2 linked regions of the Oreochromis niloticus genome follow. The protein of the gene in region 2 purifies or fractionates together with the protein of the main gene of each other region. This does not show direct contact. Links are inferred from orthologs where the notes say so. Each region holds a gene or a part of one and is shown on either strand. Other genes may lie near its edges.

Region 1 (8,146 bases), on a different chromosome or scaffold from region 2:
CATTCATTCACTGATGTTTGCAGAAGCAGTCTGCATGCCTAGGTGCATGGGTTTATACACCTGTGGCCATGGAAGTGATTTGAACACCTGAATTCAATGATTTGGATGGATGAACAAATACTTTCGGCATTTAAGTTTATAAAACCTATACGTTTATGCATTGGGTGTTTGGGGAGGGGCCACAGGGCGAAAGGCAGGGTACACCCTTGGCAGGCTCCCAGTCTATTGCAGGGCTAATACAGAGAGAAGGCTCGCATTCACACCTACAGACAATTTAGTCATCAATTAACCAATTAACCTAACAAAGTTGAATGACTGTAAATATAAGAAATTACTTGTAGCCACCAGTGGTACGCCTCAGCCTTCTAGTAGACACACCTAAGGTTTCAATTCGAAGCTGCTACAGGGTGACAACAATAGCCCATCACCCATTTACAGCTGAGAGGTAAAAAAACACTTCTTTGTATGAGCAGCTTGCCTGTATCAGGAATATCCCACACTCTTACTCCGTGTTTGCCCCATCCAACCTTGAAAGATAGGAAACTTGCTTCCTCACGCCTTAAAAAACCCCATCTGTAGGTCAACATGATGTCCTTGTTGTTTTACTACTGTGCACAAAATATTTATAATCTGTGTACCATTTCAGATACATGCCATGTATTTATTAAATGAAAGTCACTTTTTTTAAAGTTAAAACTGACCATTTACCTCATTTTCAGTCACATATAGACGAGTTCAGTGACTATGTTCAAATTAAACATGGCACGTGTTTCAAATAATGAGGAATCCCTGTTTCCACAGGTCTTTTCTACTTGGAGGTTATATCTATAATATGATCCACAAAGGCACACAGCATGAAGCAAAGGAGTCAGTTTTGTCTGTATGTTTGACTAATTGTCTGAGTGCTGCAGTAATGATGTTTAATTCAAATATTATGTTAAATAAATGTTATGTTATCGGGCCACAAGTTGTACTGAAAGGAGGTGTTTTATGTTTCTTATGATGTTGTAAGCTGCTTCTGCTCGTGTTTGTGCTGTTGTTGACCCCTTGGTTCAGCCTCTGCTGCAGAGAACACAGAAGTTATACATTCAAAGTTGCAGTGATGCGTAAACAAACAATTTTTTTACATCTTTGATTATTTTTTGGTGCGTCTTCCTCTTTCTGCTGAACTCCGCTGACGTTCCCTTTCCTGCTTAAGCTGACACTTCAACCAATAAGCATTCTTCCTGCACAGTGTCATCGCTGTGGGTCTACACACTGTTAGTTTTTTGGATTCTGCGAAATCACTCTGCAAAGATGAAGACTTATCCAAAGTCTGTTTTAAAGGTAGGGTGGCTATAACAGCTTGGTTTCCCACATGTAAAGGATCTAAGATGGAAGTTATGGAGTTGCAAATGAGCACAATATAGCAGGGATACATTCAGAGCCTTAAAACAATATTAAAACTAAAATAAAACTCAACAAAGACCCTGAACATTTTGCTTGGCAATTCATTTAAAACAGCAAATACCAGGAAAATCCTCACACTGCAGACGTAATGAAGTATTACGAGAATTATAACATCACTGCTTTCCTTTCACGCTGACTGCAAAGAGTGAATGTTTCACTTTTTTGCTTCATCTTTGCTTCGCTTTGTTTCTAAAAACTATTTATTTGCATTTCTCTGCTCTGTTGATTAGTAAAGACTCGGGCTTAATTACGTGAAAGTGTAGGCTGGCAGCGGGTCCTCTGCTCAATAGGCACATGCGTGTAACGCCACAAACAAGTGTTTACAGCTGCCGCTGAACCAAAACAAGCCAATCTGCATACACCAACACACACACACACGGGTAGGCACAGCCTGGTCTTCATCCGGCAGTGCTGGCACGGCGCCCTGAGACGTCGGCACTCCTCACGGGCACAAAGGAGGGCAGGAAGCGCAGACGAAAGACAGAAAGAAACAAAGAAAAACAGCCAAAACAAAAAGAAAAGAAGCGCAGCAGACGGCGGGACGACGGAGAACTCAAGACTGCTGAGAAATAAATTTGAAAAAAAAAAAAGGCGCGTACCTCGGCTCTGATCCACGCCACGCTGGGAGAGGAGGAGCAGGATGTTGCTCTTGATTGCTACAGGGTCCACCTGTCTGTCTGTCTGGCTGTCCTTCTGCCTGCCTGGAGCGTTGTCTGTGTGTCTGCCTGGCATCAGCACCTCTCTGTCTGTCTCATGTCTCATTTTTTATGAGCCTTTATGCGCCGGTCACTTTCCTTTTTTCCTTACATCTTAGTCTGCCACCCACTTTTTTGCTGCATCTGTGTGAATACTTGTGCGTCTGTCTTTTTGTCTCTCTCACCATGCTGCTCTGTTTTTGTCTTTCTCACTGTCTGATGTGTCTCTCTGTGCATATGTCAGTGCGTCTGCTTTCTTCATGCACAGATGCAGTCTTACACCCCCATCTTTGCATCTTTATATTTAGCGGTTAAAAAGATCCACTGAAGTTTGAGGGTTAATAAATGCAAACACAGATGTTGCACACATGACAGCAGCCATCTTGGAGGTCATGCAGCAGCACACAACAAGCCAACAGAAGAGGACGTCTTCTGTTATGAAAGTATTTCAGATTATCGACTGTCCTCGGGTGTCCTTGCATCCCTCCATCAGAGGCTTGGACTCAAGCCAAGTCGGGCACCCCCTACCCACACCCACACCATCTCCACTGTTCAATCCCAGCATGCCTTGGCACAACACTGGGTGATTACTCTCACAGCGGTAAAACAGAAGAGATGGAAAGAAAGACAGAGAGCCTGGATCTCTGCCATGTCTTTCCTTGTAGTGAGCTAATGAAGCAAGAAATGCTTGGATAGACTTCAACCATCAACACACACACACACACACGCACATACGGTGAGCACAACAGCCCACGCCAGCATAGACATCAGGCATATTGAGCATGTCTTTCATATTTGTTCTAACAAGAAAACCCAACATGGCGGACAACCACCAACCTGTCCAAACAGCGACTTCGTTAGCACGTCTTTGTTCTCCGTGAAACTGTGTTTGGCTCCTGCTTTGATTCAAGTGCTTTTTTAAGGGTTGCAGGAAGTAAAGTTGGGGGAAAAAATGTATTTATTGTGTTCAGTGTGAGCATCTCTACCTGGTAATGTAGGCAAAGTAGACAGATGAGTGGAGGAGAAGCGAGTCTCTGGTCAGCTGGCTGAGATGTTGGCTGCTTTGAACTGGAGCGGAGAGACGGCAACATGCAACGGTGCAAAGACAAAGAGCTCAGAGGTGGTGTTACAGTGTCCTATTCCAGAGATAATGTCCACATTTCAGGTTTAATAGCAAATGATCATTCATCGTGACAGCCTTGATAAATGTTTTCAGAACTGAAGTCCTGAGTCACCCTTCAAATGAACAGTAGGTTTAGTGATTTATTGAAACATGCAAAAATCACATTTAAATATAGTATATAAGAAAAAAAAAAGCAGAGTTTGGTACGACCACCTTTATTCTTCAACACAGCCTGAGCTCTCTTAGTCAACCTTCTTCTAATTTTTTTAAGTAATCTTCAGGAATTTATGTTAAATAAATGAGTGAAAAATGAGCCATTGTCCAAAGCAAAACTTTCAGAAAGCTGGAGAACTATTGCTCAAGACTGCACTTAAAAAATAAGAAAGTCTAGCTCCTTAGAAACTAAATATAAGGAAATAAGAGGTGGCTCAAGAATTTTGCACAGTACTGCTCAAGTGCAGAGCAACTATTTGATTTTCAGATAACGTTACAAGCACTAGAACATTCGGACGGAGGTGCCAGGTTGCACACCAAAGAGAAAGACATCTGGAAAACATGTTACTCAAAAGCTTTACTTAACCAGGAGGAGTCGCTCTTGAGAAGACCGTCCTGGACGGAGACCAGCAGGGCAATTATTTTTTCCCTGCGTTTTAATAACTTGCTCATAACTTTTCATTTTCTGCATAAGTGCTGCAGATAATGCTCCACACAACCGTCAGCAATTAGCACAAATCTTTCTGACCTAAATGCACATTGGCCAACCTGCAGCTCAGGGGTGTCAAATATGCAGCCTGGGAGCCATAACATGCCCACCAATTTGTCTAACCCGACCCATGTGACCCATTGTAATGTGTGAAACATTTCTACAGGAGGGGAAATGTCCGAGCATTTCTAACTGAGACTAGTTGTTTGAATCATAAAGACATGAAATACCAGATGTTTAGTTACAAAAGATCTACATGTGAAATGTTTGTACCTTTCAAATGTGGTTTGATGGTCAATTAATTTAGATTTAAAAAAAAAAGTTGATTCAAAATGTACTTGAAAGTGCTCTTGAAATATATCCATCACCTGTTTTCTTACTCGATCACTGAACAAGAAATAATGATTTTATTTGTCTGGCAAATTTTTAAGGTAATAGGAGACAGGATTGGGTTTTTTTATTTTGCAGAAGTTGTTACGAGCCCCTTTAAACATTATTACTTGTACAAAATAGGTTGTATGTGGCCCAAGAACTAAAACAATGTTTTCCACCCCTGAGCTAGAGAAAACAAACAAGTCACCTTAGTACTCCTACAACTTAAGGAGTTGCAGAAATATGAGCCTTTAAATTTAATTTGCATTGAAAAGAGCCACCATGCTCCACTAGTTTCTAGTTTTGCAACAGTCTAAGCCCTGGATCTGACAGTGGTAGTGCTACACTGACTGATATGACAAAACAAGGACAGACCAACTTCCCCTCAAACTCTTAACTAAAAAAGGAAGAAAACAGAGTCTCCTGTACTGGCAGATAATTAAAGAGAAATATGGCTGCCTACATACAGCTGTTCTTAAGACTCCAATGTGACTCACTTTTAAACAGCTAAACAAACTCCAAGCAAAAATAACAGACCACCAAAGCTTTGTACAGATTCTTTACTTTGACAGATTCACTCAGTTAATTCACAGGGACTGTTTAAGCGGAGGATTTAAACCATAAATCAGCCTACCTGCCCCGTGCTCCAGCCTTTAGTCACCTGACCGCCTTTAGCGGCTGAAATAATGGATACTCAACATACTCAGCCCGCCAGAAGTAATAAAAGGAATAATAATAATAATATATTAAATAGACACGTTTGACTGTGATAGAAGAGAAAACTTTATTCAGAATATTTTAAAGTAAGGACGAGTAATATCAGTTTGGCTATTTTAGCATGCTAGCGTGCTCACAGTGATAGTAACAGCTTAGCCTGTTGTGTTAGCAGCCAAGGCCGCAGGGTGGAAACGTTAACTAGTTAGGACAGAGCATATTAGAGAACTGGGGATACAATGCAGATAGTTAAACAAATAAACAAATTAAAATAAGATACGCTATACAAATATTTAAATTAGCCTAAGTCTTGTCTGATAAACACCACTTAAATATAAAGGTTGGTAGATCAATTCAAATATAGATACAGAAGCGCAGTATGTACTGAATTGTGTTGATTGGCATGTCTGTTTTATTTTTTTTTATAGCCTATGCACATTTAAACAACAGAAATTGACCCAAAGTGCACAATTACACTCCAGGTCTCCGACAAATCTATTTTCAAAATACACGAAAAGCTGAAAAGTGTGTTTTGTTGTATTATTAATAGTATTGTCTTATTTATTCTTGTGGAAAGTATAAATCATAATCATTTCATGGTCATTAAAATGTGTTCAGAAGTGATGATTATTCATCATCTCATAAATCATGACACACTGCTCTTCCCTTCATAAGCTGCCTTTATGGGTTAAAAGAAACAATAACAATATTGGCATCAGCAATATCGGCCTTATATTTAATTGGTATACGATCAATGCCAAAACGTTAAATATTGCACAGCACCATCACCGTATAGGTCTGTAAAAACATTAAGCATTATTTTTCAGGATCATGATCTTCTATTTTGTCCTTCTGCTCCACTATGTTTTAGACGCAAATATTGTACTTTGTACTCTGTATTTTTTTCATAGCTTCATTTATTTATTTTGCTCTAGCTTGATAGTGTAGTGTTTTACACCAAGACTATTGTAGTTTAGTGAATATAAACTAAAGTCTGAAACGAAAAAAAAACTCTTTAGATAACTAAAATAAAAATAGAAACTAGACTTTTCAAAAATATTAAAACTAACTGAAATTGTTTTATTAACTTGGAAAACAATCTGAAATAAAAAAAAAATACAGAGGAAATGTTAGTTTTAGTATTTGTTTGGTAAACGTTATTACAACCTGCATGATGAGGCTTTGATGGATGTGCTGAGATTTTGGATTGTTACAAGACTAAACTATTTTCAAAAAGTTTTTATTCTAACGATTGTGCTCATTTTCCCAAATCTTGTCTCTCACATATGCTCTTCATGTAATATTATTCTAAAAAACAAAACAAAAACTAAAGCAAACACTGAAACTAATAAAACTAAAAAAAAATTCAAATGATCAAGAGTAAACTGAATTATGAAAATTCATTCTGAATAAAATTAGACTGAATAAAACACAAAAACTCAAATTGAAATCTCAATCCCTGAAAGAGACAAAATTCCTTTGGGTTGTTTCAGGAAGTGCATTCAGGGTTCAGCCAAATCAGGATGTCAATGCATAACTCTGAAAAGTGACATCCCACATAATGTTTACTGTATCTACTTTAAATATATTTTACATCGAGTATACAACCCTTGTGCTATTCAGCTATTTAAGCAGGATTATAAAATTGAGGAATTGGCCTGCAGGATTTTCAGAACAGTACATAAATAGCTGCTGTTTATTATATATTGGTGGTAGCTGGATCTATTGTAATAGAATTTATCTGCAAAAATAATCAGACTTTAAGGTAAAGATGCAACAGAAAGTCAAATCCAAAGTGCAGTGAAGTAGATGTACTGTATATTAAACCTGCAGTTACCACTTGTCCTCACTTGTAGAATCAGCAGACATCCAGACAGAAACACAAGATTTTAGATTTTTTTAAATTATTATTTATTTCCCTCAAAACAGGAAAAACTAAACTTGCCTCTACTAAATCATTCATCTATCCAGTAGTTTTTAGATTAAACATAAAAAAAATTAATAAATAAACAAAATACAACACAGAGGTTAAATCCTAAATATTCACAGAAGGCTGTGCATTTTAAATGATTACAATCTTTTTCTCAGTAATCCAAACGCACCCCTGTGCGAGGCAAGGCAAATTATCGACTGACTATTCAAAATGTAAGATTTCCATCCATAGCAGATTCATGTGAATCGTAACTGCTGGCAGTCCTGAGCAAGTTGTAAACAAGTGCAAAAATCCTTCAAGTCAAAATAATTCAAGAGCGTTAAGCTTCGCCCTGTGATTTCAGTCACATTCATTTCTTTTTTTTGAATTTTGTATAAAGTGCCGTTTCTTCACAATTTTATACGAGGATTGCGAATGCTATAAATGAATTATGAAGATCTTAACGTGATACAAAACGTATCCTGGAGCAAAAATTAAACAAAAGTAACAACAAAAAACAAAATCCAGGCACCTGTTGGTCAGAGAAAAAACATCATTCAAGTAAATTTAACTTTATTTTTAGAGTCGAGGTGACACATCCGAGTGGGGATCAGTGGTTTTCCTTTCGTTTCCACCTGTCGGCCCCCTCTCCTCCGCTCTCCTCTTCTGCGCCCTCTCTGCTGTTCTTGGACTTCTTGTGTGTGTGTTTCTTCAGCTCTCTGTCCTGCGGCTGCTCCAGGGTCGCCTGCCTTTTCTCTTTTTTCTGCCTTTTTTGTTTCCTCTCCTTCTCTGTCCTCTTGTCGTCTTTGCTGTTCCCCTGGCTCGCTGACGAGCCGACGCTGCTGCTTCGGCTGCTGAGCATCTCCCCTTCCTCCAGATCCCTCCCTCCCCCGAACCAGCCTTCTTCTCCATCCACTTTATAATCAGCCTCATGCTCCCACCAGGCACCTCCACCCTGCACAGCCATCATGCCTCGATTTTCTCTCCCCTCTATGCCTTCTTTGACTAATTTCTCAGCCTTGTTTGGTTTCCACTCTTCTTTTCCAGCTTTGCTCTGCATTAACCCCAAATGAGGGGATTCTCTTTGAGAGTATCCAGGAGATTCAAAGGGGAGCAGGTCTCTGCCTTTACCCCGGCTGTGGGAGTGGTGTGTCCCTGGAGCTCTGTCTTTATTTCGA
Region 2 (7,823 bases):
GAGATGAGAAGAGGCAGGGTGCTGCTGTGGTCATGCTGAAGAGACCTTGGCCTTTGTGGTCCTGAACTGAGCATGTTCCCACATCATGGCAAGGCGTCGGCATCCTCAACTGGAAAAGCTCTGCTTTAAATAGCCACTCCATCACATGTTCACTATTCAGAACATGCTAAACGAATCGGAAGAGTAATGGCCATAAAACACCGTTTTCTCTTCTTAGCGTGAATATGACAGATTAAAGGAAAAATCGAAGTATCTTAGACCATCAGAACAACTTTTATACATCACTGGATTTTTTTTACAAGTTTAGTGAGGGGATTAGACATCTTTCATTCAAAATATATTCCCTTTAATGATTGTGGTGGAGTAATGTCTAACACTTCAGACACAGGTCTGACGTAGGTGTTCAATTTGGTTGAGATCTGGTGACTGCAAGTAAAAATCTCAGGATATGATTCACATCAGTTTTACACTAAACTATCCATTGAGCCCTTGTGCTCTACGGAAGGCAGGTACTGTCATCCTGGAAGAGATCACTGTCGTCAGGACAGTGATCAACAGATTATGATATCTTAGAAGAAATCAATATTGATTTTCAATGTCTCTAACTTTTTGGGACACAAACCATGCCAGCAGCACAACTGTACCACGTAATATCCTCAGTGTAGGGGGTCAAGTATTCAGGTTTTCCCTTTAATCTGTCACCCGTCCATGTGTGTGTGTGTGTGTGTGTGTGTGTGTGTGTGTGTGTGTGTGTGTGTGTGTGTGTGTGTTCATATGAATATCAAAGTGTAGAATCACAAGTCCCTAAAACACATCTGAGAAGCACTGTAAACACAGACACCAGACATGTGGTGCCCGTACGTACTTTATGTGCAAGAAAGCATGTACGTGTGTGAATGCATGAGTGTCTATACCGTGTTTTGATTGTTGCGCATGCACACACAATGACACACACTTCGCCCTCGTGCCAGTGAAGGCAGATGGTGAGAAGCGGAGCCAGCCCTCTCACATATCCCAACACAATAGCAGTCTTTCCCGGGCGGTAAGACTTAAAGCGGAGCTTTGGCGCTGCATCACAACATGAAGACACTCGCTACTTAAATCCTTTACAATGACGTAATAAGCAATAAGATCAAGTCACATGGGAACGACTATTTTAAAGTCGTACCTGGGATAACACGTCTGTTGTTGTTGTGTGTTTTGTTTTGGCTTCCTTTGCAGGACAACAAATAAAACAAATAAAAGACCTCAATGTGCACTTTTTAAACAACTCCACATTAAATTTGCTGGTAATGGAAAAGATGTGTAGTTGGTGATGCTATACAAATACACACAAAAAAAGTTAAAAACTAGAGAACGATTAGCCTCCAAAAATATAAGCTACTGGCTTATAAGCTAAATTATAAGCCAAGTACACAAATTGCAAGGAAGATCCATTTAGGCATCACTTGTGTTGGCCAAATCAGTTGTGTGTCTCCAAGTATTTGGCTGTTGACCGTGAGCCAAATGTGGCAACCAGAAAAATCTTTCAAAATAGAAAACTGAATCATCACACTTGAAACACAAAAGGAGACGTTGAAATAAGGGGCCTCTGAAGCCCCCCCCCATCCTAAGAAATTAAAACAGGCCTATTCAACTAATTTCAAGGTTCAGGATCTGGAATGATGACGTGATTTTACCATCAGGCCTGCTTTGCATAAACACAAGCCTGAAGATATCCAAAGAGGATTCAGGGATTGTTAACGGAGTTCATGTCAAAACATTTTGCATCAATTAAAAATACAAGTCTTTATAAAAGCCATGCATTAGACATATTTAAGACATTCGTGGTTGCATTATTAATGCCGGGCACTCAAGAAGTTCCACCGTAAACAGACTTTAGACCTGGGCATAAAGTCAAGTCCAGTGAGTGCTTTAATTGCAGGTCTCCACACCTCCGTGTCAAACAAGAAAACTGCCAAATGAAGCCCATCTCTGATCTGACTGGCACTGATAAGTCTGCAGATACAGAATCAAACCGCAACACATAAATATAATGCTCTACATGCTTCCCTCAGTTCTAAATGTAGATTATGTCATCTCGAACAGGAAGACGAGATAAGCCTTTTTTTCCTCCTTCTTATTTCACATAGATAAATAATTCAGTTATTGCTGCAGATGGTAGGCCCGAGGTTGTCTTTAATGTGTGCATTTAAGGACACTGTGCTAAACTCTCTCTTGACAACCTTAAGCAAACGTAACCTGTCAGTGAACGGGAGGCTGGTCTGTTCTGTGGGGCGTGCGGGTGCAGCCAGCTGCTGCTGCTGCTGCTTGAAGGCGGGCTTCACCTCGTCCCTCCTCACCAAGATTCCCACGACCTCCCTGCCCCCGCGCATGGCTGAGGATATTGTCAGACTCCAAAAAGGCTCATCTGCAGCTATAAATCTGGACAAATAATAACGCTTTCTATGGAGTGCAGTGCATGCAGACAGCAAGATAGCTCCTCTCCATCTCACACCCTCTCTTCTCTAAACGTTCGATGCAACAGAGAGGCTTGACACCAAGCATCCTCGTACATCCCCCCCCGATGTTAAGGCCAGGCTACGGTGTCTAGTTTTATCAGCTGCAGTTTGGCCCGCAGTATACACCCGGATTGGTTGCATTTAAAACCACTTAAGTAAAAATAAACCTACCAGCGCCAGACGGTCCCGGCTCCATCCCATTCACTTAGCCGCGCGGGTACAAGCTAGCTAGTCCGGGGGGTGCTGTGGCCAAACCGCCGGCCCCTTCAGGCTGGAAGCGTCTCAGACTTCCAGCCCCCTCCTCTCGGCGTGCAGTCTTCTCCTTTCTCGGTGTACCCCCGCCCCTGCCCCTACCAGAACCCCCCAGACCCGCAGAGGAGTTAAGGCTAACGGCGATAGCTGCCAGTTGCTCGTCTGCCCGTTGACCCTAGAGCCAGTAACGGCGCAGCTGCAGGGCGATGCCGTCCTATTTCGAACCACTCTTCCTCGGCGGCGCAGCGGGATCCTTCCCGGTGCTCTGATTTAGCTGATGGTCCGCGGCGCTGTAATTTCTTGCCGTTCTGTTGTGCTCCTGCTCACCGTTCAAGCAGGACTCTCCAGCGGAACAAAAAAGGCCAGCCCCTCGCCCCCCTCAAAAAATCTGAAACTTCTTCTTTGCCATTGGAAAGTGTGAAGGAAGTGTTGACGAACTTGCTGTCACACCCCAGAGGTCGAAGGCGGAACTACACTGCAGATATGCAAATACAGCCAAATTATGTCTCACGTGTCTGATACTGTGTGTTCAAAGCTGAGGTTTAAAACTAATGATCACACGTCTTACTTCTCTCTAAAAATACAACCAACATATTCTGAGTACATTTTAAAGGTGCTACATCAGGGGTTTGATCAGTTTAATCTCAAAGGGGGAAGATCAGTACAATTATCTCTAATAACAACCTAGAGCATAATAACCTATGTATCTGCTGGTGTAAAGAAGTTAAAGAACATTATGAAACACATTTATTCTAACATTCTTTTATGAAACAGATGATCGACAGTCAAAGAGTTCTCAATTTCAAAACCTTTCCATCACATGCATCAACCAAAGCAGAAAGCGGACCATTTGGCTTTGTCATGTTCACATTAAAAGCTATTGCAGTTGTGCAGTTTGCAATCTTGAAATATTGCATTTAACCTTAATTGATGTGAACCTACATCCTTGATATGTGACCACCAAGCCTTTCACATGTCTTTTTTCCTCCTCTTTTAGAAATTGCCGCATATCAGTATTGCCAACTATACATTTGTCTTGGTTTATGTTTTCTTTAGTAAAGGGCTTAATGATTAATTTATTGATCTGTAATTACTCATTTTATTGCTGTTACATATTTGCTTTTTGAGTCATTAATAATCATATTTTAATATAAGTCTTTAATCCAATATTTATATCTAAGTCTTTAATGCTTTCATGGCTTGACTTTGTAAAAAAAGAAAAAAAAAGAAGTAAAAGCACAAGAAAGAATACTTTATTTTTTAATAAATTACCATGCAGTGTTTATTCTTTCAGTCCTACATTGATTATTTTGTACAGGAAACTGAAAAAAGAACCAATGTGCACATATCCAATAAACTTTAGGTGCTAGAAATAAAGGAATGAATGAATGAGCTCCAATTGAACTATTGAATTCTTACAATATTTTTGCAATTGGAACATTCTTTAGGGTTGATATATTTATGAGAATATTTAAAGAATTAAATGGGACAGTGGATATTTATTTAATTTATTGCCATTATGTTTTTTCTCATGTCCCACACATAGTTGGTTACGTATGAAAATCACTTAGGGTAGTTGAAATTCAACAGGCTGACATTTGAAATATATATTTTTTCCACTAATGAGTTAAAACATTATTTTTAACTTGATCAATATAATAATGTAGCTGTATTATTATATCTGTAGTATTGTATGAAAGTCTTGAATCACCGCTCAATTTGTATGTTTTTCTATGAAAATGTGAAATAGGTGCAACAATTTATTGAAATGTGCAAACATGCATGGAAATCCAGCCCTTGAGGCAATGGAAGAGTTTGTACAGGTTTATGTGCTTGATAGTTATAATTTGGTAGGACCACCTTTATTTTCCAACACAGCCTGAACTCTGTTAGGCAAATATTCTTGTAATTTCTTTAGTAGACTTCAGGAATAGTTCTCCAAGCTTCTTAAAGGACAATTTGAAGCTCTTCTTAAGATGTTGGCTGTGTTTTGTTCTGTTCTCTGTCAAAATATTCCCACACTGCATGGTGGCTCAAAAGCAGAGAGTACTTTTCTGCATTCATAATTCCATCAATTTTGACAAGATCCCCAACACCACTGGTTGTAATGCAGCCTAAAACTATAGCCTGCACCAGCAGATAGCTGCAGACTGTTGTATTGCTCTCCTGACCTCCTGACCTACTGGCAGTGATTTGAACCAGACATTTTACATTTGGATTCATCGCTCCATAACATCTGTTTCCATCGATTTCCAGTCCAGTTCTTATATAATATGGCACACCTCCGCCTTTTCTCCGTTTCCATTCCTTAAGAATGGCTTCTTGACAGCCACCCTTCCACTGACACGATTTCTGATGAGGTCTCAGTGAACAGTAGGTGGATCAGCTGAAGGGCAAGGTGCATCTCTCAGGTCCAGTGTCAGGTGTTTGTTGGATTTTTTTCTATTTATTATTGGATTTTTCCCCCTATATCTTCTGTTGTCCTCCACTTGTCCAGTTTCCTCAGATTTTTAAAGGACCCAATGCACACCATGCCAAGATATGCCAAGTTTTCAATGATTCAAGTAAATAAATGGCAACAACACATTGCTAGTATGAAAGTGTCCATATACACTATTTAAAATAGGTTCATTGTTTGAGTGAATGTTGAATGATTCATAGGTCAGTGTTAGGTGTCTTAATACAAAAAAATTAGCCAATGCTAAAAATGTTAAAAAATTATTAAAAAAAAAAAAAAAAGTTGTAAAGAATGATGACTCTTGCATAGCAGCGGACATGTCATATTCACTGCAGCACGTGGAAACACAGTAAACAAACATGTGTTAATGATTGTTTTGTGAATATGATATGAATAAAACAGCTGAAAGGATTAGTAGTGACATTTTTCATCATTATTTATTTACTTAAAACACGTACTGTTTTGTTTACTTTTTTCTCAAGTTATTTTATTTATATTACAAAAAACCCCGTCAAACCCCTGCTGTGTCATTGATGTGTCTTTGGCTTTTTATGTTCGATTTAATATTTTTTAAAAAGACATAAATAATAGATTTGAATTTACTTGTCATCCCTTAGTTCATATTGTGGTGTTTTACTTCAGTAAACGTTGAGAAGATCACTTCCCTTTAGTTAAGGAAATCACAGTCGGTCCTTTCATTGAAGCGTAGCGTGCGTCCATCCTCATGATTCAAAAATCTACTAACTGCTGACAGGAAGTCGTCAGCACGCTCATACGTCACTTCACTCCAATACGGAAGAGGTCGTCATCGTTAAGGCTGTGAGTTGGAAGGTATGTGAAATGTGATAAAACGATCGCAGTTTGTGAGTAGAACAGCTCGTGCTTCAGTAGTTTGAATGAATGAAGCACTGTAAGTGTTTCCTGGGCAACGAGGGCGCCCGTCAGTCCTTTTCCAGTCTCGCGGCGGTTTAGTTCCCTGCAGGTCTCGTGAGCCGGGCTTGCAGTTAATGGTGAAATCCATAAGTGGCTGCAAATGTAATGCAATATCTTCTAAAAATGGGACGTTAATGTGGGAACGAGATGCCTTCCCTTTCGTGAAAGCTAAAACTTGGTGAAGTTTTTTTTTCTATTTCTGGAAGAGGGAGTGTGTGCGGTAGGAGTGCTCTTTGAATCCCCCCCCCCACCTTTTTATAAATAAATCTTTCTGTCTTTCGGCAGCACGGATATGTCGTGGATAAAAGAAGGCGAGTTGTCCCTGCTTGAAAAGATTTCTGCCAATATCCTAAAGGTAAGCTGTACGTTATAAGTTGACTGTCTTTTTCAGCCTCGCTTTTGTCGGTCTTCTGCCTTTCTGCGACTCAAATCAAATCACTTTTATTGTCACATCACATGTGCTGGTACACTGGTACAGCGCATACGAGTGAAATTCTTCTGTGCAAGCTTCACAAGCAACAGAGGTGTGCAAAATATAAGAATGGGAATCTGAGAATAATAAGAATAAATATATGTACAAATATAAGAATGTATGCACATTAATGAATATGTATACCAAATATGTATATATACGTGTGTGTGTGTGTGTGTGTGTGTGTGTGTGTGTGTGCATACATATATGTAAATAAAATAAAACAAAACATACAGAGGTTAGCAGTTGGATATTGTGCAAAAGAAATGGCATTTATGTACAGTATGGAGTGCATAATGTTGAAGTTCCGGTAAGTGAAAGTGAGGTGTCTATGAAGTGTTTAGCAGTCTGATGGCCTGATGGAAAAAGCTAAGTATCTTTGTGGGAAAAATAAAACCCTGTTAAAATATGACATTTCTGGGGATGCCCCAATTATGTGCATTAAAAGAAATCTGGAAATTATGCAGGCTGGTAGATTTTGATTAAATATAATTTTCACTCTATATAATTTCAGAAAAGAGGAAATTATTTTTGAATGTTATATTTTGTATAGTTGAATGAAATGTGTTTAGATTTCTCTTGTGCCTTGACAAAAATCAAAGTATGTCATTTCAGAGTATCTGGATGGAAAATGGAGTGACAAACAGAGCCATTTAGAAAACATCAAACTATTTATATATTTATTTGACAAGGTTAAGATTCAGAAAATACCATAAAGAATAGCTTACAAATAATAATAGTTCTTAATTAAATATCTAGGGGCATGAGCTGTAACCCCTGAGGGGGCCACAGGGAATCACTTTTTAGTTATCGTTCAAAATGCAAGTCCTGGGTTCAAAATGCAAACCTATTAGTTGATGGTGATGAGTTTTATTTTGTTTAAATTTGAAATGTTTAGAAAAAAGTTGTACATGACATTTTTGTGATAAGATATCAGCAGATATTTACATGGAATTAGACAGTGTTGGTCTTTTATAGATTAGATCGCATTAATGCTTCTTCTGCATTTCTTTTGACTCTTTTGACTGTTGTCTTCCAGGCAGGACCCATGCCTAAACATGTGGCCTTCATCATGGATGGTAATCGACGTTTTGCACGTAAGAAAAACATGGAACGGCAGGAAGGACACATGCAGGGCTTCAACAAGCTGGCAGAGGTGAGTTTGGGGTTTTCGGCTACAGGAAATGCATGTCACATGGGCAGAAAC

Evidence for each region.
Region 1: the proteins of ago1 (region 2) and trinucleotide repeat-containing gene 6A protein purify together in Homo sapiens (affinity purification with mass spectrometry; 10 studies listed by BioGRID and IntAct, with this or other methods). This does not show direct contact. The link is inferred for Oreochromis niloticus from reciprocal best matches to the Homo sapiens genes AGO1 and TNRC6A.

Annotation. Positions count from the first base shown.
Region 1 is NC_031969.2:12,149,761-12,157,906, forward strand, and holds the start of trinucleotide repeat-containing gene 6A protein, read right to left. Parts: upstream 3,213-8,146; 5' UTR 3,131-3,212; intron 1-3,130. Other genes in the region: E3 ubiquitin-protein ligase RBBP6, read right to left, coding at 7,579-8,146.
Region 2 is NC_031976.2:28,008,251-28,016,073, reverse strand, and holds the start of ago1 (protein argonaute-1), read right to left. Parts: upstream 3,188-7,823; 5' UTR 2,698-3,187; coding exon 2,673-2,697; intron 1-2,672. Other genes in the region: dehydrodolichyl diphosphate synthase complex subunit DHDDS, read left to right, coding at 6,219-6,322, 6,430-6,499, 7,656-7,772.